Linked DNA regions of Neurospora crassa OR74A. The protein of the gene in region 4 purifies or fractionates together with the protein of the main gene of each other region. This does not show direct contact. Links are inferred from orthologs where the notes say so. Each region holds a gene or a part of one and is shown on either strand. Other genes may lie near its edges. The genes, in order: NCU00210, NCU03778, NCU06354, NCU06622, NCU01614, NCU07832 and NCU02717.

The links.
Region 1: the proteins of NCU06622 (region 4) and NCU00210 purify together in Saccharomyces cerevisiae (affinity purification with mass spectrometry; 3 studies listed by BioGRID, with this or other methods). This does not show direct contact. The link is inferred for Neurospora crassa OR74A from reciprocal best matches to the Saccharomyces cerevisiae genes LEA1 and CBC2.
Region 2: the proteins of NCU06622 (region 4) and NCU03778 purify together in Saccharomyces cerevisiae (affinity purification with mass spectrometry; 6 studies listed by BioGRID). This does not show direct contact. The link is inferred for Neurospora crassa OR74A from reciprocal best matches to the Saccharomyces cerevisiae genes LEA1 and SMD2.
Region 3: the proteins of NCU06622 (region 4) and NCU06354 purify together in Saccharomyces cerevisiae (affinity purification with mass spectrometry; 4 studies listed by BioGRID). This does not show direct contact. The link is inferred for Neurospora crassa OR74A from reciprocal best matches to the Saccharomyces cerevisiae genes LEA1 and SME1.
Region 5: the proteins of NCU06622 (region 4) and NCU01614 purify together in Saccharomyces cerevisiae (affinity purification with mass spectrometry; 4 studies listed by BioGRID). This does not show direct contact. The link is inferred for Neurospora crassa OR74A from reciprocal best matches to the Saccharomyces cerevisiae genes LEA1 and SMX3.
Region 6: the proteins of NCU06622 (region 4) and NCU07832 purify together in Saccharomyces cerevisiae (affinity purification with mass spectrometry; 5 studies listed by BioGRID, with this or other methods). This does not show direct contact. The link is inferred for Neurospora crassa OR74A from reciprocal best matches to the Saccharomyces cerevisiae genes LEA1 and PRP8.
Region 7: the proteins of NCU06622 (region 4) and NCU02717 purify together in Saccharomyces cerevisiae (affinity purification with mass spectrometry; 4 studies listed by BioGRID). This does not show direct contact. The link is inferred for Neurospora crassa OR74A from reciprocal best matches to the Saccharomyces cerevisiae genes LEA1 and CLF1.

Annotation. Positions count from the first base shown.
Region 1 is NC_026503.1:3,018,652-3,021,971, forward strand, and holds NCU00210 (nuclear cap binding protein subunit 2), read left to right. Parts: upstream 1-1,377; 5' UTR 1,378-1,568; coding exon 1,569-1,637; intron 1,638-1,735; coding exon 1,736-1,857; intron 1,858-1,945; coding exon 1,946-2,339; 3' UTR 2,340-2,820; downstream 2,821-3,320. Other genes in the region: NCU00209 (hypothetical protein), read right to left, coding at 1-34; NCU00211 (mitochondrial ribosomal protein subunit L31), read right to left, coding at 2,882-2,934, 3,005-3,234, 3,307-3,320.
Region 2 is NC_026505.1:2,382,505-2,385,902, reverse strand, and holds NCU03778 (small nuclear ribonucleoprotein Sm D2), read right to left. Parts: upstream 1,971-3,398; 5' UTR 1,759-1,970; coding exon 1,733-1,758; intron 1,634-1,732; coding exon 1,601-1,633; intron 1,453-1,600; coding exon 1,401-1,452; intron 1,324-1,400; coding exon 1,118-1,323; intron 1,033-1,117; coding exon 990-1,032; 3' UTR 501-989; downstream 1-500. Other genes in the region: dak-1 (dihydroxyacetone kinase 1), read left to right, coding at 1-417; NCU03777 (mitochondrial 3-hydroxyisobutyryl-CoA hydrolase), read left to right, coding at 2,723-2,845, 2,920-3,398. UniProt on the Saccharomyces cerevisiae protein: Plays a role in pre-mRNA splicing as a core component of the spliceosomal U1, U2, U4 and U5 small nuclear ribonucleoproteins (snRNPs), the building blocks of the spliceosome.
Region 3 is NC_026504.1:2,807,242-2,810,027, forward strand, and holds NCU06354 (small nuclear ribonucleoprotein E), read left to right. Parts: upstream 1-1,208; 5' UTR 1,209-1,377; coding exon 1,378-1,518; intron 1,519-1,582; coding exon 1,583-1,609; intron 1,610-1,664; coding exon 1,665-1,733; intron 1,734-1,803; coding exon 1,804-1,857; 3' UTR 1,858-2,115; downstream 2,116-2,786. Other genes in the region: NCU06355 (karyopherin), read right to left, coding at 1-59, 139-228, 311-439; NCU06353 (hypothetical protein), read right to left, coding at 2,116-2,753. UniProt on the Saccharomyces cerevisiae protein: Involved in pre-mRNA splicing. Binds and is required for the stability of snRNA U1, U2, U4 and U5 which contain a highly conserved structural motif called the Sm binding site. Involved in cap modification.
Region 4 is NC_026504.1:1,833,587-1,837,138, forward strand, and holds NCU06622 (U2 small nuclear ribonucleoprotein A'), read left to right. Parts: upstream 1-1,176; 5' UTR 1,177-1,475; coding exon 1,476-1,554; intron 1,555-1,672; coding exon 1,673-1,713; intron 1,714-1,824; coding exon 1,825-2,085; intron 2,086-2,202; coding exon 2,203-2,337; intron 2,338-2,393; coding exon 2,394-2,636; 3' UTR 2,637-3,030; downstream 3,031-3,552. Other genes in the region: NCU06621 (hypothetical protein), read left to right, coding at 1-484; NCU06623 (hypothetical protein), read right to left, coding at 3,031-3,552. UniProt on the Saccharomyces cerevisiae protein: Involved in pre-mRNA splicing. Associates to U2 snRNA in a MSL1 dependent manner and is required for normal accumulation of U2 snRNA. Required for the spliceosome assembly and the efficient addition of U2 snRNP onto the pre-mRNA.
Region 5 is NC_026502.1:2,951,812-2,955,151, forward strand, and holds NCU01614 (hypothetical protein), read left to right. Parts: upstream 1-1,160; 5' UTR 1,161-1,471; coding exon 1,472-1,579; intron 1,580-1,781; coding exon 1,782-1,873; intron 1,874-1,983; coding exon 1,984-2,056; 3' UTR 2,057-2,840; downstream 2,841-3,340. Other genes in the region: NCU01615 (hypothetical protein), read left to right, coding at 1-735; pp-2 (protein arginine N-methyltransferase HSL7), read right to left, coding at 3,006-3,188, 3,295-3,340. UniProt on the Saccharomyces cerevisiae protein: Plays a role in pre-mRNA splicing as a core component of the spliceosomal U1, U2, U4 and U5 small nuclear ribonucleoproteins (snRNPs), the building blocks of the spliceosome.
Region 6 is NC_026503.1:1,005,865-1,009,886, forward strand, and holds the start of NCU07832 (pre-mRNA processing splicing factor 8), read left to right. Parts: upstream 1-1,222; 5' UTR 1,223-1,703; coding exon 1,704-4,022. Other genes in the region: NCU07831 (eukaryotic translation initiation factor 3), read right to left, coding at 1-344. UniProt on the Saccharomyces cerevisiae protein: Functions as a scaffold that mediates the ordered assembly of spliceosomal proteins and snRNAs. Required for association of BRR2 with the spliceosomal U5 snRNP, and the subsequent assembly of the U4/U6-U5 tri-snRNP complex.
Region 7 is NC_026501.1:3,299,894-3,304,067, reverse strand, and holds NCU02717 (pre-mRNA-splicing factor clf-1), read right to left. Parts: upstream 2,801-4,174; 5' UTR 2,702-2,800; coding exon 2,383-2,701; intron 2,306-2,382; coding exon 537-2,305; 3' UTR 333-536; downstream 1-332. Other genes in the region: NCU02716 (pre-mRNA splicing factor), read left to right, coding at 3,348-3,695, 3,798-4,174. UniProt on the Saccharomyces cerevisiae protein: Involved in pre-mRNA splicing and cell cycle progression. Required for the spliceosome assembly by promoting the functional integration of the U4/U6.U5 tri-snRNP particle into the U1-, U2-dependent pre-spliceosome.

The DNA.
Region 1 (3,320 bases), on a different chromosome or scaffold from region 4:
GCCAGGGCGCCGAGAAGCTCCGGATTTTGGGCATCCCGACTGTGCTTGGTGGTTTTGTGCTAAGAGCTGTCTGTTGTCGCTATACTATCCAACTCGAGCCTGATGAATCCTACAGATGACGGTGGTTCGTGTGGCGCAATGAAAACCGAAGTTGGTGTCTGGCTAGGCAGAAATAGTAGCTTGTGTTGAGGTCCTGCTATGTCCTAGCATGCACGGGCCGGTTTTTGTCGTCGTGCTGCACTTCGCTTTCTCTGCTGAAGTAATGTATGTAGGTGGGGAGGTAATTGGCTATGTAGGTAGGCAGGCGCACTATGGTCGAGGTACGTATGTATTTGATGTACCGGTACTATTAATGTGATGGCGGTTCTCGGTTTTTGAAGATGAAAAAAAAAAAAAAAAAAGGTGATCAAGAGCAAGTAGAACAGAAGCCAAGGGAGGGAAGACAAGGAGAGAGATTGGGATCCCTTTTTGAAGTGGCAGGCCCCTCGATCGATCCCATGGGAGAAAAAGCCAGGAAAGCGAAGTTTGCTAGTGGTCTCGGTTGGCTGGTCAGGATGGTAACAACAAGGTTTGACTAGCGTGTAGTGCTACGGACCTGATGGATGCCCGTGGATGGACGAGTGCTGGATGCCACTATTGTCCAGTCCGAGCCAGTGCTGTAAATGAGGCGTCCAGGGCGTCACTAGAGGCGTCCGCTTCCGTGCCTATGCCGTATATTTTCCGTTGCTTGCCTTGATCGATCGTGTTAGCTTCATTTTAGCGCGTTTCCACTCCTTCCACAGCCCTTTAGTCCGTTTCAACTGTCCGCCGGTGTTCAGTCCAGACCGTGCTCGCCGCCTCGTCTCACACCATCGGTCATTGATCAACAGGAGACAGGCAGGCCGCCCGGGATGAGAGGGGATGGAATGGCCGAATGGAGGTCTTAACGGAGACCTAGCTGTATACATACTATAAATGGTAAGCCCGAGGTAGGTACAGTTGTGCTGTGACGCGCCTGTAAATTGGGTGCCAGATTGCGGTCCAATCGGCTGGCAATGGTTGTTGGATCAACGACAAAGCGCCTCCACCAAGTCCTCCTGCCCTTGCTTCCATCGCTCTGCCCTTGCCTGCCGTCGTCATATTTGCGGGCACCTCGTAAGATAGGGTACCTGACCCACCACCAACGGCTTCCGTCGCCCGTTACAGTGCCAAGACTACCTGGATTGCCATGCAGTGATGTCCGATGCACTGTGACACTGTGCGCCAACAGGACTAAGTGTAACTGACCTGAGCTGAACTGAACTGTGAACGAAGCCTGCAGTGCTGCTGTCGCGGTACACGGGCACACCAGTCGCGCTCAGAAAGTAGCTGCGCCTGTACTTCCACTTTAGCGGGCAACCTAAGTTACCTCTTAGGTAGGTCCAATTCCATTGGCAAGGGAAACCACTGCATCATCCCCATCGACGTCTCAGAACTCCAAACCATTGAACTTCCACTTGGGCTGACAGCTTTTGATTTTCCTTCTTCTTCGCAGTTGCAGGGCACCTTTCACCCAAGAGCAGATAATCCATCTTCACTACCAGGTAACCATGTTGAACACTCGCCAAAGGAGCACCGTAGAGCGCCTTGACAGGCCAAGTGCATACTTTTTCAACAAGGTGAGTGCTCCTGACGGCATTTCCATGCCCAAACATTGCCAATCTCTCCTGTCCATAATTAGCACCCCGTCGACCGCTGACCCATCCACTCAACACAGAATAGGCGCAACAGACGTCACGACCGGGACCACCGCGATGGAGAAAACGAAGACAGTAACATGCATCCCGAAGCGTTCGATGACCCGTTGAAGGATGCGACCACGCTCTACGTCGGCAATCTGCAAGTTTGCCCCACGCTGCCAGTCCTTAATTAAAAAAATCAAAAAAAAATCAAAAGAAACAAGAACTAACCGAATGTACCTCGGCAGTTCCTTCTACACTACCGAAGAACAGGTTTACGAACTCTTTAGCAAATGCGGCGAGATCAAGCGCTTGGTCATGGGCCTCGATCGCTTACAAAAGACACCGTGCGGTTTCTGCTTCGTCGAATACTACACCCATCAGGACGCTCTCGATTGCATGAAGTACATTGGCGGCACCAAGTTGGACGAGCGCATCATCCGAACCGATCTCGACCCAGGCTTCGAGGAAGGGCGACAGTACGGCCGTGGAAAGTCGGGCGGCCAAGTTCGTGATGAGTACCGTGAGGACTACGACGAGGGCCGCGGTGGTCTTGGCCGGCAAATCCAGGCCGAGAGAATGAGGGAGCATGACCACAAGCGCTACGACGATAACGACGAACAATACGGCCGCTTGCGCTAGAGTTGTCATTGCATGGGAGTTACGTGGGACAATGAGGGAGTGCATCATGATCCAGTGCACAGATATTCAACCAGTCGTCATGACAAATCGACACAAAATATGCAAGCCGGCTCTGAAATTACGAATTTTGTTCATTCAGGGCAAGTGGAGGCGGAACAGAGAAGCGTAAAAGACAAATACCCCCTTGGAAGACATGATATTCGTTGTTGTATTGGTATCTTGCTATGGTATTTCGGGAAATTATTGATTTCCCATCCATTCGGTATGGCTCCACACATTCTTCTGTGATGCTCGCCTGGCCGTGTTTGCGCTGCTCTCTGCAGTGGTATCTCAACATGGAGCGAGCAGGAGTGTCCATGATGGACAGGACCTCCAAGTCAGTCAGTCTCTTTGCGAGACGAGACAGGAGGCCTCCTCTTCTTTGCCCCAAGCAAACGGTCCTGTTAGCGGTATCTCCAATGTCACCCATGCCATTTCGCTGCGTAATGTTACAAGTGATATACATGCTTGCACGATATCGTCCATCGTCCGGGTCGAAGGTCTTAGTAACCGGGAGGGTTGACTCTCTGGGACACACGGGTCCACTTGGGAAGCTCTGGAAAAGGAATGCCGTATTAGCCTTGGTCTTTGACTGCTGTGAAGTGATGCACAAGGGTGGCCCGTACTGTGGATGCCCTTGCGGTACCTCTTCTCCTTGCGGTCGAAGATGGTGTACTTGTCCTTGGGCAGCATCTCGGCCTCGGTGGGCATCTCAGCCCTCCAGCGTTCCACCGCCTTGACGGTCTCACCCTTCTTGGCAAGAGCGTTCTCAATGGTGGCGACGACGTTGTCAACGGCCCTCAGTCTGCGGCGCTGCCTGAGCTTCTGGAACTTGGACATGCGCCATGGGATCTTCCTGTTTGCCGCGACATGATTAGCATTTCCGGTAGAACCTTTGGCGCAACTGCAACATAGGGTAGTCGCTTACCAAAGAAGACCCCC
Region 2 (3,398 bases), on a different chromosome or scaffold from region 4:
GTCGGTGGAGGGGAGTCGGACAAGAAAGCTGCTGATGAAAATGCCTGGGCCGCAGCCCTCAAACTGAGCTGTGAGGCCCTGTCCAAGTACACGCCCGCTCGTCCCGGTGACCGCACCCTGGTTGATGCCCTCTATCCCTTTGTCGATGCGCTCGAAAAGACCGGTGATGTGAAGAAGGCGGCCGAGGCTGCCAAGCAGGGAGCTGAGGGCACCAAGGGTATGAAGGCCAAGTTGGGCCGCACCGTCTACATTGGCGGGTCCGGATTCGAGCAGGTGCCGGATCCGGGCGCTTGGGGATTGGCCAAGTTCTTCCTTGGACTGGCTGGAATTGAAAAGGCTGATGATTCCAGTGCTAAGCAGGCCAAGGGATCGGATGATGGATGGGAGGAGGTTACAAGAGAGGCGGAATTGCCGTAAGAATTGGTGCTGTATGTGATCTCGATATACCCCTAGGTAGTTAGTTTGCACCACCATTTCAATGACGTACCAGGAACACCAATACAAATCATCCCGTTGCTTGTCGTTAAAAAGCACGAGAAAACATGACCGCGTCTGCGAAAACCTAAACACGGTCTGGGTATTCTGTTCGATCAAGTTACCAGAAATGAAAGATAAAAAGTTAAACAAAACCAAATACACGTTTGAACGCCGAGCTCACACTAGTTTTCCCTTTGTATGACCTTCCTAATAGCCCCTGAAAATCTGCTTGGGTTTCTCTTCTTTCCTCTCGTTCCTGCGCGGCGCCTTTTCACGGGGCGTTTTGAATTGCTTTCGTGGTTGTGTCGTCATCATGGTCGATCGAGCGGTTGAGTAGTAGTAAGGTGATATAGTCCGCATGTCTCTCGATTCAGTCGACCAACAATAGGTACCCTTCCCGGGCTCATCCCCACTCCATTCGAGCCATTAACCCTAAGTTGTGCTGGCGCGTGTCTTCGCCGTGCAAGTGAAATAAACCTCCAACCTATACATTTTGCCGTGCTATTCGTGAACTAGCTGAGGAGGACAAGGATGACGGAGTCGCCTCTCAGGAACCTGCCAGGAAAGTGAAACATGTCAGCCATTGATCTTCGCTTCTCCTGGGCGAGAGAAACAACAGATGAAAAGGAAGTGCACAAACATCTTGCTGATAAACCTGTCCTTGTTTACGGGCTTGCCCTTCTTGCCATTGGCCAGTCGGGGCGTCTCGGTCCACATCTCCTTGACGTTCTCCAGCACCATGTTCATGTGGCGATCGAAAGCCTTGACGCGCGCAAGGATCTTGCGCCCATTGCGGACGGAAATGAGGACTTGGGAGTGGCTGCGGACGGCGGTCTGGAGGATGGACTGCCAAAAAGGGTGTCATATTAGTCGCTGCTCCGTGTCGAAGGGGTGGTAGATCAAGGCTTATGGGGCATATGTACCAGAGGACCGGCGGAGAACTCGTGCTCTTCGAGGAGAGAAACTTCGTATTCACTGTATCAGACGAGTTGGTTAGCTTTGTGATTTGGCTGGGCGGGCGTCGTGGTCTTGGGTCGCAAAGAGGAGGAGCTGGGAGCAGCAGGGCGGGCGAGATGACGATGGTAACAGAGGGAGGTGATGTTGACAAGAGGATATAACGTACGTAAGCTCATTGCGCGGCTTCGTGAGAAGCTCCCTGTATAGTAGACAGTTGTTAGTCAAGTTGGTTTCCTTGAAGCGTCCATGGGCTGCCCGCGCACATGGGTTGATGCTGGAGAGTGGGATAGCTACTGACTGAATCTTTGCATCCGCTGAAGCCATGACGATGGTGTTTTGGTCTAGAGTTGAATTGGAGTGGTACTGAAATGTAGGAGGGGCAAATGAGTTGTAGTTTTGTCTTTGTATCAAAAATGGTTGTTGACGTCGAGTGGTTGCTTCGCGTGGTATGGGTTGGTGGTGTACGGTAGAAGCCTGGACAATAGTTGCTGTAATGGATGCTATCGCTATCTTCAATCCACGACGGGAAATGTTGCAGCAGCGGAGGGCCAGGCGCGGCGGCGACTCGGAGCGTGGAGCAGCTACAGCACACGCGCCAAGCTTTTCTGGGAACAGAACCGTCTTCAAAGTTTGGCGATTGGATGACAAGCTCACGGTGGATCCCAATGCGAAAGGCTGAGGACCGCTCCGGTGACAGGTGCTGCCAGCCCCGCCGAACCCGACATGCTCCCCCGGACAGCCGGGACATCGGGTTTCCAGTGAGCGGAGGGCCCGAGCGTCGCTTCTGGAAAATGACAAGTTTGAATGGATAGAGGTATCATCGGCCGGAGGATATTCCAGCTTCTAGCGATAGCGGCGGGGATTCGGCAGGTTCCACAGCTACCTCTACACTATGTATTAGCTCCCCCGTACCTAACCCCGCCCCGGGGATTGCCAGGCGCGGTGCCCTTGAAAATCAATTGAAGCTGGAGCTCCATTTCGCGTTGAATTCCAGCAAAAAGTGGATTTGCAGATACTCTCGCTATCACTTATCACGGTTCCTGCATCCACGCGGCATTCAGATCATTGGTGATTGTTCTCCCGTTTTCCCTTTCCCAGCCCAGGAAAACGAGTCCCGAAAAAAAGTGCCCGAGTCCCTTGGCCGGTCTATGATGCAACAACGGTGCTAAACAGCCTCGGGGTGGATTTTGGACTTAGTATTTTTCTTCCATATTGACCCTGGGTCTTGTTATTCCATTCCTATTCTAGACAAAGCCAGCCAGCCAGCCAATTACCGAAGTGTACATCGATGTTGGTCTCCAAGTCCATTGCCAGCCGCGCCGGCTTGGCTTCTGCTGTTGCTTCTCGCAGCTGCCGACCAAGCTTCACCGCGATGCCGCTCAGAGCCAAAGTCCTGGGCCAGCAGGCCCCAGTAAGACGCTCCTTGGGAAGACAAAAGCCATGGACACGGACACAGCTAACACGCTCGCCGCCCCCTCCTCCCAGATCTCGACCCAAGCCGCCGCCGAGTTGTTCAAGCCCGTCGAGGGTGACGAGCCCGAGGATGTCCTCTTCAACAGTCTATATAATCTCCGCTCCGTCGAGCTCAACCGCCCAGCCAAGTACAACGCCCTCAATGGCTCCATGATCCGCAAGATCGCGCCCCGTCTCCTCGAATGGGAACGCTCCGATATGGCCAACGTCATCGTCATCAAGGGCTCCGGAGAGAAGGCCTTCTGCGCCGGTGGTGATGTTGCCGCGCTGGCCAAGCAGAACGCCGAGGGCCCCGAGGGCGTCAAGAAATCCGTCGACTATTTCGGCCTCGAATACAAGCTCAACCACCTGATTTCCACCTACACCAGGCCTTACGTGGCTTTCCTCGACGGCATTACCATGGGAGGTGGTGTTGGTCTCAGCATCCACGCCCCCTTCAGAATTGCGACCGAGCGCACTGTCTTCGCCATGCCCGAGACCAAGATTGGCTT
Region 3 (2,786 bases), about 970 kb from region 4:
TGGTTGCGAAGAGCAGCATGTTCACTTTCGGGAATTTGCGTTGCGAGGTCGTAGGTAATCTGAGAATCGTGAATGTCAGCGGTGCGCGACATACAAGCGTAGCGGTATCGTCGTGATCCAATGGGTATCTGTAAGTACCTTGCCCTTCAGTGTCGTTGCTGCGAAGAGTTGCGCCTCGGCTTCGGGAGAGCCCTGCAAGATCGATATTGTGGTAGTCCAGGCCTCGTTCTACGGTCGATTGAGAAATGCGGGTTAGTCACATGCGAACCATAGGTGTGTTGGCGTCGAAGGAGCTGAAAGCCCAACTGACCGACTTCTGAAACTTTTGCAGGTAGTCCATGGCGGCCTTCTTGGAACCGGAGTCACCACTCCGCATCGTCAGCATGGCCTGCAGGACATTTGGGGTGGTGAAGCCGTCTGTGGCGCCGTTGGAAGCCATGTTGGGCAGCTTCGGATTGTGTATGATGTGATTTAGCTCGAATACAAGTGTTGTGATGGCAAGTGTTGCGATGCGGTGTTGCAAGTGGAAGCTATCGCTGGGGTATCGCAGGTCGCAAAGTGGATGGATCAGCCCCTCCTATTCGACAGGAGTGTTGTCCGACTTATCGGTCTTGCGACGCGATGGAAGCTTTCAGGATATGTTGTTGTAAAGGCGAGGAGCTGCGATGCGCACGGGGTATATGAAGCTCCAGAGAGGTTGCAAGAATAAAGGACTGGGAGGTATTGTACGGTGCCGCCGTGGTGACAGGATTGCTGCAAGTTGGAGGTTGCCGGCGACGATTTGCTCTTGAGCGTCCAAAGAAACGACGATTGAAAAACATCCCGCCAACAATCGAAGAACGTCAGGCTGCCTGACACCGACCGACCGCGAGTGGAGTAAACGGCGGCGGGCAAGCGGGTCAAAGAAAGTGGAAGCACATCCTGCACCGCCATAAGTGGGACAAGCGGGAGGGGCTCATGCTACCCCAAACTGAAGATTCTGTGGCTTGAGAACCCAAGCAGCTCGGAAAAAGTGAATTGAGCTGAATGCCAAGAGGTTATGACACGACGCTGTGGGCCCAGCAGCATGTAACTAAGTGCACAGACCAGCTGAGCAGCTCCCGTCCCGTCCCCGGCGGGAGGTGCTTGTGAAAACAAGAGCTCCACACGCCAGAGACAGACAGGCAGGCAATTCGACATTCGGGGGAAATTCATTGAAGTCACGTCCCGGCCGTAGAGAGAACGCGTCTGGGAACAACTGCAAGCCAAGCCCAGCCGACCAACAACGACCATCCACAACTTGATTGCGACTTACTTGTTCAGCCTCCACATCACCATCAAACTTCTGTCCTAAACACCGGCCAAACGACCAAACCACAACAAACTTTTATTCTCAACATGACCGGCAGAGGTGGTGGCGGCAACCGCCGTGTTCTTCTTCCTCCCATCAACTTCCTCTTCCGTCTTTTGCAACAACACTCGACCGTCCAAATCTGGCTGTACGAGCAGCTTCACATTCGCATCATCGGCACCATTCGTGTAGGATTCTCCATCGTGACCTCCCCGAAGAGCAAACATAGGTGCTGACAATTCCGTCTTACAGGGCTTCGACGAGTTCATGAACCTGGTGGTGAGTAGCGGCGCATGTCCCACTAGCACTACGAGACCTAACCCCATTTCCACAGATCGACAATGCGATTGAGGTCAAGCTGGTCTCCAAGACAAACGAGACGGAGGAGAGGAGGGAGCTTGGGGTAAGAATATGTTTAGGGCTGGACGTCGATGTTGTTGTGGCAGTGGAAAGGGTGGCTAACTGGGTCGCAGCAAATCCTCCTGAAGGGCGACAATGTCTCGCTCATCCAGAGCTACTCCGGGTGAAGAGCTCCAAACCTGAAGGAGAAGCGGTAATCGACGATGCAATTTACGCTGGGACCTACATCGAGCGACGAGCCAGCAGATCTAAAGCTGTACATAGACGGCCCACAAAGATGTGGTGCGTGGCCTTCTACACAACAAACGACACCGAATCTACGAAAGAGATACCAGGGAAAAGCGATTGGCCGAGGCGCACAGGAATGTCGACTATATGTATTTGATCAAAGGAAGGCAGTACGGGATGGATATCAGGTCATGGAACTATTTGGGTGCAGGAGGGCTCTTAATCTCGCCATTTCCGAGTATCAGGCCGTCCAGAGGTTGATCGTGGCGACCAACAGGTACCGACCCCTCGGATGGAGAGGATAGAAACTGCTCAGACAGCGCTAAGCCATAAAGCAATACAGGGGTTTCCTGCTTCCCCAGCTCGACAGACTTTTGGTTGTGCCGGTTGATGAAGTAGTCGTAGAAGCCTTTGCCGTGTCCGAGCCGTCTGATGGCCCCAGCTTCCGGGTCAATGTCGAAGGCCACGCCGGGCATGAGGATCAAGTCAAGCAGGGTTTGGTCGGAGTGGTGGGCGTCGGGACCTCCAAACACCCTCTGCCGCTCATGGACCGTGGCCGGGTCGATGCTGGGAATGCCCCATCTGTCTGGCTTGAGGGACTCATAGTCGTGAAGATCTCTGAGGCGGACCATGTCCATGACGCGGGCTGGGAGGTTGGGCGAGGCCAGAGGGTTCTTGTGAAGATACGGGATGAAAACCTCCTTGCCGGACTCTAGAGCGTGCCTGACGATGCCATCGGTCTGGATCTCGCCCGTGGGCATGGACAGGAACACGCTGACCCGTTTGGCGTCTACGTAGGGCTTGAAGTTCCTCAGAGTGTTGAAGACCACAGAACCTGCAATTGCGGATTTAGTCTGCGCTGGCAGTA
Region 4 (3,552 bases):
TGCTACACCTCAGGCACCTACAGTCGCGAGTGTACCTCAAGAACAGCCAAGCGTCTACCGCTCGCCTTCAATGCAATCCTCGAATGCAGAGAACCGACCCCCATCGCCGAAGCAAATGACCCCAATAGTCGAACGTCATGCTCTAGCACCAATGGCTACCACACCGGACAGGCCCACTTCTCCTTCCAAACGGACGATTCTGGGTGCCCTTCAAAGCACTAAGCCTTGGACCGCGGCAGATCTAGACAATATATTCTCGCCCAACAAGAACGACTACGATAAGGAAGACGGCATTGACAAACTCTTGCACAAGGGCAGTGAGCTCACGAGCCCGGAAAAGCGGATGACCGTGGAGGAGTGGATCTATCATAATGCCAACTTGGCTGAGCAGAGATTGAAGAGGGAATGCGAGGAGATGGTCCTGCTGTTTGAGAAGCAGGGTGCCAGAGCGATGGAAGCTTTGGAGGGGCTTATCGTCGAGTAGTGAGTGAGTGGCACGACCCTTGGGCACCAAATTATCAGCATAAAAGGACGAGAGGTGTGGATTCGCATACTAAATCCCGCTTCTGGTTCAAGGTCGGGCAAATTCTGTGTGTGTGTGATACCAGGTAATGGACATGGAACTTGCGTGATGCGTTACATAGCAAGCTTATTGTGTCAGTGACTTTGGCTTCTGGTTTGAGTAGCATGGAAGGCGTCATTCGACGTCCGGTTAGACGATGTAGGGATAGCATTGTTGGTGACGTTACAATGGAATTGCACAATAGTGTGCATCATAACGAAACAAGCCCTAAAGTTACAGCTGCAGGTTCTTTAGATGATGCCGGGTTGGGGATCTGGACTAAAGAGCGAGTGTGATGAAAGTGGTTTTGGTTTTTCCATAGCGGGCGGTTAGTGGTTGTGAAAGCGTTTACACCAAGAAGTAGAACGAAAACTTGACAGCAACCTGGCGAGATAGCGAGTAAGAAACATTTTAGGCCAACAAGAGGGCAGAAAATGAACATATAATATCTGACTCTAGTACCCTAGTCTTTCAGACACAAACCGTGTCGACTCTGTTTAGGAGCTCCGTGTGGTTGCGACTTGCAAGTAATCCGACGCGCAAGGGTTAGGGTTACTACATCGTCCGTTTTTTTTTTGCGGCGCTGTCCATGACTTCATTGGGGCAGGCAGCCTTGTCAATCTACTTTGGTAACTTCACTACAGCCACCAATTACGAACCACGCGACGCGCTTCAACCTTTTGCTTCTTTAGTTGACTTCCATCAATTTCAATCTCGAAGGCGAACACAGGACATACGGCAATTCTCCTGGCTGTAATCAATAATTAATCACCTGTTTGCAAAGCCCCTTTGCGCCGCCGTATTACAAAAGCACCACCAGCAACAACCATCACAAGGTACCGACCGGCATCGCAGTAGTAGTAGCAGCGACAGCTCGACAGCTCCCCGTCGTCGTTGCACTCCCGTCGTCACAATGAGGCTGACGGCAGACCTTATCAACAACTCCCTTTCCTATCTCAATCCGCTTAAGGAGCGAGAGATAGACCTCCGAGGTGCGTTCCATCGAGAAGAGCAGATACTGCACGGTTGATCTTCAAGTTTCCAAAAGCGCGTACAAAGAACAGAGTTGATATATCGAAAACCTATGTTGGGTTGGGATACATGCAATAGGACACAGAATACCTGCTATTGAGAACTTGGGCGTTGCTGGGGTAAGTTTCTCCCTTCTCCTGGTTCTTCCTCTACTGCTAGTCCTGCTACTGGTAGCCCGTTTCAACCAAATTACCAATTAATGCAGTTTGCTAATCCGGTCGCTACTACAGCCCCACGATGCCATTGATTTCACCGACAACGATATCCAAGTGCTGGGCAACTTCCCGCTCTCTCCCCGCATACGCACCCTCCTGCTCGCCCGCAACAGGATCGCCCAGATCCAGTCGACCCTACCGAATGCGACCCCGAACCTGAAGAACCTCGTCCTGGCGTCCAATAATATTGGCGAGCTGGCGGATTTGGAGGTGTTGGGAAGGTTTCCAAGGCTTACGCACTTGGTCTTGACGGACAACCCCGTTACCAAGAAGGAGGTACGTCACACAACGCCCTTTCGTCGCCCAGTGTTATGCGGCTGAGAGAGAATCGGAGACGGGGGTGGCAAATGGAATGAATGTACGGAATGGCTGACAATGTTTGTCGACACACAGAACTACCGCTACTGGGTCCTCTGGCTGTGCCCTCAGGTTCGCTTTCTCGATTACGTCAAGGTCAAGGACGCCGAGAGGCAGAAGGCGAAGGAGCTGTTTGGAACCGCTGATGAGCCGACGGAGTTGGCCAAGACGGTATGTACCTTGTCTTCTTTTTCAATGTCATGACAACCCTGCTAACATGCAAACAGATAAAGGGAATCAAGAGCAAGACCTTTGACGTTGGCGCCAGCTCCGCCAACGGTGCGGCCGGCAGTGGTCCTTCCTCGAAACTTTCGCGTCTCAAGCTCACAGAGAAAGAGAAGAAGAAGTTGCAGGATCTGATCAAGAAGGCCGACAGCTTGGAGGAAATCATCAGATTGGAGAAGGCGCTCAACGAGGGACGGCTGCCACCTGGCATTATCGCCGAGGATGACGATGCCATGGAGGAGTAAGGAGGAACCAAGGTGACGGGCACCTGACGAACGTGGTAGATCAGGTTGCTATATGTTCGTGATATGATGGCTTGCAGAGGTGACGAAAAGGGGGAGGACGGCACTTCAAAGAGCTTACCATTTGTCGGCGTTCGGTTCTAGATGGGGCTTACTGCAAAATAACTGTATACCAAATTGCGCAAATTTGCTGGGTTGAAACAGAGATAGTGAAACATGATAGTGGTGTCATGATTTCACCGCAGCAATCGGAGCGGCCTTGAGGAAAGGGACGTTAGGACGAGCATATCAAGGGCCCATGGTCTTTGATTCGGCAACTCTACACCTCTTAACGTCTTGTACTCGCCCGGATATTCAACACGTCTATTCGGCTCTGTATGTATGGACAGTCACTCAACTAACCCGTCATATCCACATCCCCATCATGACCCCGATACTGCTGTGACGCCGCCTGCCTCATCTCCATCTGCAACTGCGCGCTGGGATCCTCGTCCGACGTAGTAGCTGGCGGTGATGCCGACAAGATACCCCTATTCATGCCGCTCATCACACCAGGAGTAGAACTAAATGGTCGTCCCGAAGCCGACGACATGCCCACCACACCCGTCGTGACACCCATATTGGTAATACCGGTATTAACCCCGCCAGCACCGAGTCCATTCACCGGCGCCGCCAGCCCTCCAATGCTTCCACTAGCACCGCTTCCTGTACCAGCAGGCAACCCCCCATTCATAGACATCAAGATGGACGTTTGCTGCAACCCGCCGGACCCCTTTTGCTTCTTGGCATTCGGCAGCATCGCCATCCTATCCCGCTCATCTCCATGATCACCCACTTGTCCCTGCTCCAAAGATAGCATAACCCCCTCGGGAGCTGCCAGTCCTCCCATAACCGGTCCAGGCGCCAAAACGACCGCGGC
Region 5 (3,340 bases), on a different chromosome or scaffold from region 4:
ACCATGGCGCGCCAAGCGCGCGAGGCTAAGGCGCGGGAACAGAAGCATAAAGAAGCCGAAGACGCGTGGGACGGCAGCGTGCCGGATATGGCGGATCCGATTTCTGCTGAGGAGCAGGCTAGGCTTGATATCTTGGAGGCGATTGTAGAAGGGTGGTCGTCTGGTACTTCCAAAACGGGTGAAGAGGATGTAAGGATCCGTGCCTCTGCGTTGTCAATTCTGGCGAATTGCATCGAGACGAATATTGTTGGTGTCGCGGCGGTGTTGACGATGGCGAGCGTGGATCTGTGCATTAATGTTGTGCAGGTAGAGCGGCAGCTGGAGAAGGGGATACTCAGGAGGGCGGCGGTGAGGCTGATTATGAGCTTTATCAAGGCCATGGACGAGGCGAAGCACGAGGGGAGGGTGTTGGGGATTGCGTTTGGGAGTGAGACGCAGGAGCAGCTGAGGACGATTTTGGGGTATGTGGAGCAGACGGACGAGGATGGGTTGGTCAGGGAGTATTGTCGGGATGTGCTGGAGAGCTTGGAGAATTGGAAGACGAATAGCTTGGTGGATGAAGTGTCGTTGAGCCAGGCAAGAGGAGGAGGGTTCGGTGGTGGTGGGTTAACGAAGCTGGCTGGGTTGGTTGTCGACCCGGAGAGGTCGGTTTCCCATGGTGGTGATGATAGTGGTGGAAGTAGTGGCGGTGTTGAGATGTTCGGCGGTAGACCTAGGATTGAGGAGATTGAGTAAAATATCTTCACCCAGTATGGGACTTTATTAATTCAAAATGACTTCCTGTCAGGTCCTGAACAGTCCCCTTCCATTTCGTTTCAAAACATCGGCGTCTTCGAGGGTCTTGACCTGAAGGTGTAAGTGGGCATCGGAAATAATCAGGGAGAGATGTCACCAGGTAAACTTGAGTGAAGAAGTGAAAGAATACACTAAGCTATGTACCTGAGTAATGATAAGCAAAAGGATCGCCATAAAGGTCTTGGTGATGCTCATCATCGTCGCTGTCAACAACATCAAGTATCCTCTAGCCACCAACCCTAACCCTGTAATCTACTAATCAGACAGGCTTATTGCCACGTCCAATCAGCTATCGCGTTAGGGCTCCACATGTCCCTCGTAACAGAGGAACTTCCATCGTCGCGCTACTCCAACGCCGCAAAGGTCCAGCATTGGAGGCACAGTCCCAGTTGGAGCTTCTTCCATCATAGCATCAACGCCAATCCCATCTCTCTTCCCAACTTTTCATAACCATAACCTCGACCTTGTTGCGTCCACCCGACCACAACCCACTCTTACACATCTAAGAAAACCGACAAATACAAAATTCCATTAGCACCAAGCCGAATCGCGAATCCAACTTTCGAGCCGTCCCATCGACGACAACAACAACAACAACAACAGCAAGCCTGTGAATACACACACAAGGCGCCACGCACTTGACCAAGAACCAACCCTTCGAACCGAAACCGACAACATGTCTTTTGTCCCAGTTAACCCCCGTCCCTTCCTTCAAGATCTCGTCAACAGCTTTGTGACGATCCGCTTGAAGTGGGGAGAGACGGAGTATGTTGGCCGTCTTGTTGTACGTATATATATACATATCCAGCATCTTTCTTCCAATCTAGCCTTCCCTTTGCCGCTGGACTTTGGTCTTGGCATACACAGCTGTGGGAAGCGATGGGGAGGGGAGGGGAGGGGGAAACCAGCAGGCAGGACCAAGGAGCAACGAAGGAAGAACAAAGAGAGAGAGGCTGACGAAATGCGTGTGTGCATGTGAACAACAGAGCATCGATAGCTACATGAACATTCAGCTCAGCGACACAAAGGAGTACATCAACCGCAAGTTTACGGGCGCCTTGGGGCAGGTTCTGATCAGGTACGTCCATACTGAATACATCCCACTGCTACGGCTTTCCATACGGACGACCCAATCCCCCATCTCGTATCAACTAGCCGGGATGCTGACATTATGGACTTCAACAATAGGTGTAACAACGTTCTCTACATCAAGAAGGCCGACGAGGCGGAAACAAGTGGCGACGTCAAGATGGAAGAGTGAAAGTTCTCTCGCCACCAGGAGGAGGAAATGAAAGGGTAGCCTAGACTAGCGGGCAGGGTGGTGAAGGGCGCGATTTGCAGAACAGACAGGAGGAATGTGTGAGGAGGGAGGGTCGTGATGTTCCGACTATAATACCCTGGGAGGAAAAAAGAAGAAGAAGAAGAGATGGATCTACTCTACCGACCAAACCAAACCGAGCCGAACCGAAGCACAAACCACAACGCACCCGCTCGCCGAAAACTCGTTTCCCAATGATGAAAGTGTGCGCTTCACGAAAGGTGCGACAACAGCTTTGATGATATCGGGCGCGCATGGTGTGGAGAGTGGTACGGAAGGGCGGATTTGCTTCAAGAGAGAGTGAACGGTGGATGGATGGATGGATGGGTACCGAGCGTCTCTCTGTCTGGTAGAGACCTTCGTTGCATCTCCTGCGCAAGACCGTCAAAGGAGCATGTGCCATCTGGCCTTTCCTTGAAGATAAAGGCTAAAATAAGATGTTGGAACAATACTCAGCTTAACAGGAAAGAAAGAAACAAAAATCTGTCAAGACCACACATCATCTAGGTACTGAGCAAAGAAAAGGAAGTGGCGGGTTGAGTTAGACATGCGGACATGGCGTCTGGTTTCCAGGTATTATTTCAACTGAAAGAAAAAGAGAACGAGCGGCGTGAATTTCTGTTAGTCTCAACTTCCACTTGCCTATACATCACACGACTACAGGCAAAGACAGTCACCATCATCATACACATCGCGCGCCTTCCCAATTATGAACATTCTATCCACCATTTGACTTCGAATCTTTTATTCTTTCGCTAAAACAAGACTTTTGACCTTTTCCTCGCAGCGTTTGTTACAGCTGCATACTTACACACTCCTAACACCCGACCTAGCCAGCCTTGCCCACCACCTACTGGTACCTAGTTACCTCCGTTTTTACATTTCCTCTCTTCTAACCAAAAATGCAGGCAACCTTACGACTGCTATGCATCTCAGAAGCGCCAACCTTGATACGGGTCTTGGGACCCACCCAAGCATACACTTCAACCATCCACTCGTACCACACCCTGGTGTCGTCGGTCTGGCGCCACATGCTGACTTCTAGCTCGGTGTCCTGAGGGAAGTAGAGGGGTTGCTATGTATCGTCGAAGAAACAGGGTCAGTAATCGTCACCAAAGCAGGAGCGAGGAGCGAAAAGTCAAGAAAAACAAGAAATGAAGGAAGAAGAGATAAAAACTCACCCTAAGAGGGAAGAAAATCGGGAACCAGGAAATCATGTCCTTGCTC
Region 6 (4,022 bases), on a different chromosome or scaffold from region 4:
TTCTGGCCGTTCTGGATCTGGCTGATGGTGGACTCGAGTTCGTCGAAGCGCTTGTCCTTGGCGCTCTTGACCTTGGTGGTGGCTTCATCGTCGCTCTGCTCTTCCTCCTCCTCCTCGGACTCGTCGTCGCTCTGCAAGAAACGGGAGGCACCCTTCTTCTTGGTTCCTTCTTCCTCGTCGCTGCTGGACTCCTCGTCGCTCTCCTCCTCGTCAGACTCCTCCTCAGACGAAGACTCGTCCTCGGCCTGAACCTTCTCCTCCTCCTCCTCCGAAGTGTAGACCTCCTCCTCCTCGGAGCTGCTGTCGGTGGAGCTGTCGTCACCGCCGCGGAAGAAACGAGACATGGTTGCGGTCTCTTTCGATAGACTCGGAATAAATATGCGGGTTCCGGGGGTATGGGCGCGATGCAGAAGTCCGGGTTACCGGTATGGGTACTTGGAGTGGTGGACGGAAGTGGTGATGGTCCGGATGGTTGGCAAAGCAAAACCCGGCTGCGGCGAGGCGGACAGAGGGGTCAAAGAATTAATTTTCACTGAAAGGCCGTTTTGGTGGGGGCGATTTGGGGCTTAGCGAATCGAGCGGAGCTGTTTGGGCCTCGAGCGCTGTAATGATTGGGTATGACTTAATCCGAGCAAGGGGTGTGGGGGGAGAGGATACTTGCTCCGCGGGGGGGAGGCTGAACTTATGAGCTGAATGTACCTGCTTCCGCTTGGAGATCGCAGGACGGGATTCCTAGAAGATGAAGATAAGGTCTGAACCTTGCAGATGTTCGCATGAGGGATCTGTCAGAGGAACGGGTTTTTGTGTATACTTTGGCGAGCGGAGCGAGGGAACAATATCAAGCATTGCTTTGTCAGGCCTTCACTATGAGATTCAACACCTGTCGTCTGGGTACTTGGGCGCAAACAGCCAGCCAGCTGATGCCCCACCTTCAATGTATCAGCTACCTGAACTGATAATGTATCACTATACTCGGTTACATGCATCTGAGACGTGCTGTGAGCTTGTCAAGCCAGATCTACCACGTAACGGGGATTGCGTATCGAAAGTTACAGTACGTAACAGGAGACGTTTCGCCACGAAGTCGAGAAGTGACAGCCCAGCCTGCCCAGTCGCTGCAGGCAACCAACCCCAGGCCCTCTTTCACTAACTGGAGTGGCGGGGACGCTACCGGGCTGCAGCTGCCAACAAGCACCTGCACAGCGAAGAATCCCGCTGCCAGGTTTCCCGTTTTGCGCGCCAGGACCTGGACCGCCCGCCCTGACCTCTGAACTTTATCGACCGCCCACGCAGCTGTCGCGAGGCTGTTCAAGTTTTTCGTAACGAGGCCAACCTGCCAACGTCAACGCCAGCATCCTGGCGCCACCAAACCACACTTTCACGAATACAACATCCACCTCTCCATTCTCAGCTTGATCGACCATCGCCGCGATTTGGTGCGAGGTCGACCTACGCCCATTTCCATCTAAAACCAATGGGAATCTAATATTTGCCAGTCCTTTTTTCTCTTCCTCAGCGAGACAGGCCTTGGAACGACGCACGCGGACTGCAAACCGCCATCGCGCGGACAGGCGACTTCACGGTATCCAGCCTTCTATCCATCTCGTCGCCAACGCCGACTGGTACACGCTTCTGACGAAGACGATTACAACGAAACAACCACATAAACGTCAACAAAGCTTCATCAAGCAGAAATCGAAAAAATGTCCTATCCGCCACCACCACCTCCTCCCCCCGGCTGGGGCGCTCCTCCGCCGCCATCAGCACCTCCGCCGCCGCCGCCTCCGTCCTCTCTCCCACCTCCTCCTGCCCTCCCAGCACCGCCGCCGCCTGGGTTCTTTCCACCAACCGACCCTCATGTTGCCAAGTTCGCCCAGAAGAAGAAGGAATGGCTTCGCATGCAGAGAAATCGCTTCGGCGAGAAGAGGAAGGGCGGATTTGTTGAGACGGAAAAGGCCGACATGCCACCAGAGCACTTGCGGAAGATCGTCAAGGATATTGGGGATGTTTCGCAGAAAAAGTACACCAGTGACAAGCGCAGCTATCTTGGGGCGCTCAAGTTCATGCCCCATGCTGTGCTGAAGCTGCTCGAGAACATGCCCATGCCTTGGGAGGCTGCCAGAGAGGTCAAGGTTCTCTATCACGTCAACGGCTGTCTGACCCTTGTGAATGAGATCCCGAGAGTCATTGAGCCCGTCTTCTTTGCACAGTGGGCCAGTATGTGGACGGTAATGCGCAAGGAAAAGAGCGACCGCCGGCTATTCAAGCGCATGCGATTTCCACCTTTCGACGACGAAGAACCGCCCCTGTCCTGGTCCGAGAACATCGAGGACGTCGAGCCACTTGAACCCATTCAGATGGAGTTGGATGAGGACGAAGAAGCAGCAATCTATGAGTGGTTCTATGACCACAAGCCGCTTCTCGACACGCCCCACGTCAACGGGCCCAGTTACAAGAAGTGGAATCTCACCCTGCCGCAAATGGCGAGTTTATACCGTCTAAGCCGACCGTTGGTGTCTGAGGTTGTCGACAAGAACTACTACTACCTCTTTGAGCTCAAGAGTTTCCTCACAGCAAAGGCCCTGAATGCGGCTTTACCAGGCGGGCCTCGCTTCGAGCCACTTTACAAGGACATTGACCCCAATGATGAGGATTTTGGCGAGTTCAATGCTATGGATCGCATCATCTTCAGGAACCCTATCCGAACAGAGTGCCGTGTAGCTTACCCCCATCTTTATAATGCACTTCCGAGAAGCGTCCAGTTGTCAGTCCACTCATACCCGCAAGTTGTCTATACGCGCACAGAAGACTACAACCTTCCCGCTTTTTACTTTGACACGAGCATCAACCCGATTTCTTCGCGGGCTGTTGCCCCCAAGAACCTTACAGTCAGCCATGAAGATGAGATCTTTGGACCTGGCAATATCGAGGAGCCGGAAGAAGATGCGTTTGAGCTGCCCGCTGGTGTCGAGTCTTTCATGGCCGAGGAATCGCTGTATACGGATGAGACGGCATCGGCCATCGAGCTTTGGTGGGCGCCGTTCCCCTTCGACCGCCGCTCTGGACGTACGGTTCGTGCCCAGGATGTACCTCTCGTAAAGCATTGGTACTTGGAGCACTGCCCGCCGAAGCAGCCCGTTAAGGTGCGCGTCTCGTACCAGAAGCTTCTCAAGAACTACGTCCTCAATGAGCTGCACAAGAAGCATCCAAAATCTCTTCAGAAGCAAAACTTGCTGCGGACTTTGAAACAAACAAAGTTCTTCCAGCAGACAACGATCGATTGGGTTGAAGCCGGCTTGCAAGTCTGCCGACAGGGCTTTAACATGCTCAACCTGCTTATCCACCGCAAGAACCTCACATATCTCCATTTGGACTACAACTTCAACCTGAAGCCCGTCAAGACGCTGACAACCAAGGAGCGAAAGAAGTCTAGATTCGGAAATGCCTTCCATCTTATGCGTGAAATTCTGCGCTTGACCAAGCTCATTGTCGATGCCCAGGTACAGTACCGTCTTGGCAACATTGACGCCTTCCAGCTTGCCGATGGTATTCTGTATGCCTTCAACCATGTCGGACAGTTGACCGGTATGTATCGTTACAAGTACAAGTTGATGCACCAGATCCGTTCCTGCAAGGATCTCAAGCATCTCATCTACTATCGCTTCAACGCCGGCCCGGTTGGCAAGGGTCCAGGCTGCGGTTTCTGGGCGCCGGCATGGCGTGTGTGGCTCTTCTTCATGCGCGGTATCATTCCCCTTCTTGAAAGATGGCTTGGCAACCTCCTTTCCCGTCAGTTCGAAGGTCGCCACAGCAAGGGAGTTGCCAAGACCGTTACCAAGCAGCGTGTTGAATCTCACTTCGATCTCGAGCTTCGTGCTTCCGTCATGGCTGATCTGCTGGACATGATGCCGGAAGGTATCAAGCAGAGCAAGGTCAACACGGTTCTTCAACATCTTTCTGAGGCCTGGAGATGCTGGAAGAGTAACATTCCTTGGAAGGTTCCTGGACTTCCCGCAGCTATT
Region 7 (4,174 bases), on a different chromosome or scaffold from region 4:
ATGATGATGATAATGATGGTCAACAGGTTGGGTTTTATGAGGATGATGAAGAAACAGATCAATTCCGAGAGGTTGAGAGAATGACAATGATAAACAATGTATGCCTCTTTGCGAATTCTCACGATATATGTATAAAGAGAAGGCCGGTAGTCAGTTTCTTTCATGGAGATAAACGATACTTTTTGGACCCACGAATACAATGTGCTGGAAATCGACGTCAAGACCACCATGAGATTCGACGGCCGAGGAAGACCTGATATCCTCAGAGTATCCCAACATGTACAAAGCCGTATTTAATCGTACGGGATATGGAACAACCTACCAAGCAGTTGGTTAAAATATAATTCACACCTTTCATCAAAGTATGGGGTTTCTATCGTGGTTTGGGCTTTTTATGTGATCTTTAATACCGAGAACAACTCAAGAGGTATATATGTGTGGGAGTAAAGATCCGCACCATATCGGTTACTGTATTCGGGGGGAAAAGTTTATGGGCTTCTTGGTCTGCGGCCTAATATAACATTGCATCTCCTACACTAGCTGCTCCCTCCCTGAGCCGCTTCATCGACAGCAGCGCCACCAGCACCCCCCGCGGCCTGCTGTTTCCAAGCATTCGCCATGGCCAACAGACTCGACAAGTTCTTGGTCTGCTGATCATCAGCCGGGAAGATATAATCGACATATTCCTCCCAAGTATCATCCTCCAGCTTACGCTTCTTCTTGGTCTTCCTAGGCATTTGTTTCTGAATCTTTTCGATATCCTCCGCCGACCCATGCGTCTTCTCAAACGCCAACCACGCGTTGAGCAGCGACACACGCTCGGCCTTGAGCTCGCGCTCCTTCATGCTCTTGTGCGCCCTCTCAAAGATCTTGCGAGCACGTGCCTTGGCCTCTTCGCTAACAGGCTTCTCTTCCACCTCCTCCTCCGTTTCTTCCTCCTCCTCGGCCTCGTCGGGTATGTTGATCTCGAACTGGGCGTAACTGATCCAGACCTTGGGGTGATCGGCCTTCTCGAGCAGGCGCTCGTACAGGGCACGCGTCCGCTCGTACTCGCCCTCTTCTTCCTCGAAATCGATGTACGCCTTCCATACCACCTCGGGCATGTCCAGGATCGGCTGCGAGACAGCGAGCTCGAAGATGGCGCGGGTGCGCTCGAGATCGTCGAGACCACGTTCCAGCTCGGCCCACTTGATCCATGTTTGGCAGTTGGCCGGGTTGTACATGACATGCTTTTCGTAGAGGGTGCGGCAGCGCTCGAACTCGTAGAGCTTCTGCTCGAGGAGGATGTACTCCTTGAAGATCTTGTCTTTGGGGCACATGCCGATGGCGCGGCCGAGGGTTTTGCGGGCCGTCGTTAGTTGGCCCTGTCGGATCTCGAAGTGCGCCTTGGCAACCCACACTTTGGCAAAAGTGAACTTCTTGTGGGGGATCAGGTTCAGACAGGTGTCGTAGATCTGACGGGCTCGCCCGATATCCTTTGTTTCCCTCTCCTCCCATATCGCGTAAAAGAGGAAGAGGAAAATGTACCGCCTCCAGTGTCGCTTCTCTTGGGTTGGCGGTACTTGAGCAATGGCTCGCTCGTAGACTTCTCTGGTCCGATCGACATCTCCTCCGCTCTCCTCGAGTCGCGCAAAGTCAAACCAGACGTCGTAGTTCTTTGCGTTCTCCTTGACTTGCTCCTCGTACAATCTCCTCCTCTTTGTAAGAATGACGTCCTCCACACCCTCCTTGTCGCCAAACTGCTTTTCAAATGTGGTGTAGTGGGCATGTAGCGTCATCGACTTGGACCGAGGCAAGTTGTCGAGGCCAAACTTGTAGATGGCACGGGCCCGCTCATACTCACGCAGACGGGCCTCGTACCGGGCGAAGGCGATGAATATCCTCTCGTCAACGGCATCGTCGCCTAGCGTTTCGGCAATTGTCTGGATAGCTGTCTGGAAGACCTCGCGGACCGTGTCGCTGGTCCCGTATTCCTCTTCAAACTTGGCCCACTTGAGCCACGTCCTCGGTTCCGGATGGACGGCGGTAAAGGCCCTGAAGATCTCCCTTGCCCTGTCGAACTCGCCGTAACGTTTCTCTAGACGGATATAAGCACTCCACGCCTGCTCATCTGGCTGCCACTTCATCCACCGGTCGAAGACTTGTCTGGTACCCGGAATGTCGCCGAGCATCTCCATAACGTAGAGATACTGGTACCAGAGAGATGTGACTCTGGGCAGCCGCGTGACAGCGCGGTCCAACAGATTGCGTGCATGGTTGATGTTACGGTTCTTGATCTCTGCTTGAACGTATCGGATCCAGAGTTCTGTTGGACATATCGTTAGCGACTGATGTGCGCCACATTTAACAGCACATGGACACTTTGAGTTTAGACAAACATACGAGTATTGTTGGGATGTACATCCAGAGCGCGCTCGAACACAGAGCGAGCCCGCGCAAACTCCTTCTGTTCTAGCTCCCATTGAGCATACTGGAGCCAGTTCGATAGACGAACTCGGTTACGCCGCACGTAGTCCTCAAACTCCTTGCGCTTACGACCTTGGTATTCCTTGAGCTCCTCGAGGTCGGCAAAGCGCTGTGTCGGGGTCTGGAGGTTGACTTCCTGGCGGTCGACGGCCTCGCGCAGCAGCTGCTCGGCCGAGATCTGTACAGGCGCAGGGGCTTTATTCTTCACCCGTGGCGGGCCGCGCGATGACTCCATTGTGAAGATGGGCGTAAAAAGTGGCGATCTGCAGATGTTGGCGTGGTGTTGTAAGTTCGGTTTCTCAATGAGATTTTGGGGTCTGGACGCAACAGCAGCCAGCCACTGAACTCAGTTGAGGACGCGCTGCGATTGATGGACCGTGGCTCGATGCCCCTGCCTACTTACTGAACCTTGCTGCACAGTGGGTATGGACACTTTTCGCTCATCATGTCATTGTACATCTGATAGGTAGTACATGTCCGACCTCAGCGAGCAGGTTCGCCCATAAGACGACGCTGAGCCGCTGGAAGGCCGCTGTATTGGGTGTGGCTGCGAACTACGCCTACTTGACACTATCTACTCACTGCACTGGCAGCTATCGGCGACATACCAAGCCGCACTGTGTACGACCGGCAGGCAAAGCACTGGCGCAACGAGGTCAGTACAGTACGCTAGGCCGTGATGCAACGCCGCGGTCTCTTGCCTCCATTCTTCCCAAAACCAAAACAAGTCGACAACACATCGAACTCTTTTCCATTCTTTCTTCGGCACACGGCAGCTGTTGTACCTGTATCAGCGACTGTCCCGTTTACTCCTGAATCTAACCACCTTGAGACCCGAACAGTCGCCGAATATTCTGCCCAGGAAACAGGGTTTTGCCAACATGTCGTCTACTCTCGACGAGCTCCTCCAGGACTTTGAGGACTCTGGCTCCGAGGCCGGTGGCGAGGAGTATGGCGATGGTCTTCTAGGCGATGGCGTTGACACGACTGGAGGCTCCGGCGTGGACGACGCACATGTACCGATCAATGATGAGGATCAAGATGAAGGCATGGGCGACGAGGAGGGCGAGGACGAAGACGAAGCTATGGGTGGCGTCGGCGCCGACGACTCGAATGCTGTAGAAGATCCCGAGGAAGCAAAAGCCAAGGTTGAGAAGATGCATCTGGGAGGAGTGCGAGATGTTCGAACTGTTGCGACTCTTATGAAGTCATTGAAGCCAGTACTCGAGGTTAGTTCCCTTATACCCGTTTGCGGTGCTCCCTTTGAACATGGAAAAGCGTTTACATCTTATTTGAGCAATAGCCCTGACAGTCTGGATCGAACGTTGCAGAAAATCGCACACTATCAAGCACAACCCGCTCAGGCCAACGACGTCGGCCATGTCGAAGATCACCCGGAATACAACCTCTTGACCAACGCCAACAGACTGTCTACTCTGATAGACAGTGAGGTGGCCCTTGTCCACAAGTTTGTGAGGGATCACTTCTCCGCCAGATTTGCTGCACTCGAGTCGCTATTACCGAACCCAATCGAATACTGCAAGGTTGTTGCCATCTTGGGCAACTCCCCAATGGACTCGGAGAGCATGAAAGCGTTGCAGCTTTCCACCGATAACCCTCTGGGGTTAACCCTCAAGTCAGTTCTTGACGGACCAACCTTGATGATTGTCACGGTGGAAGCCACGGTTTCCAAGGGTCAATTTCTGGG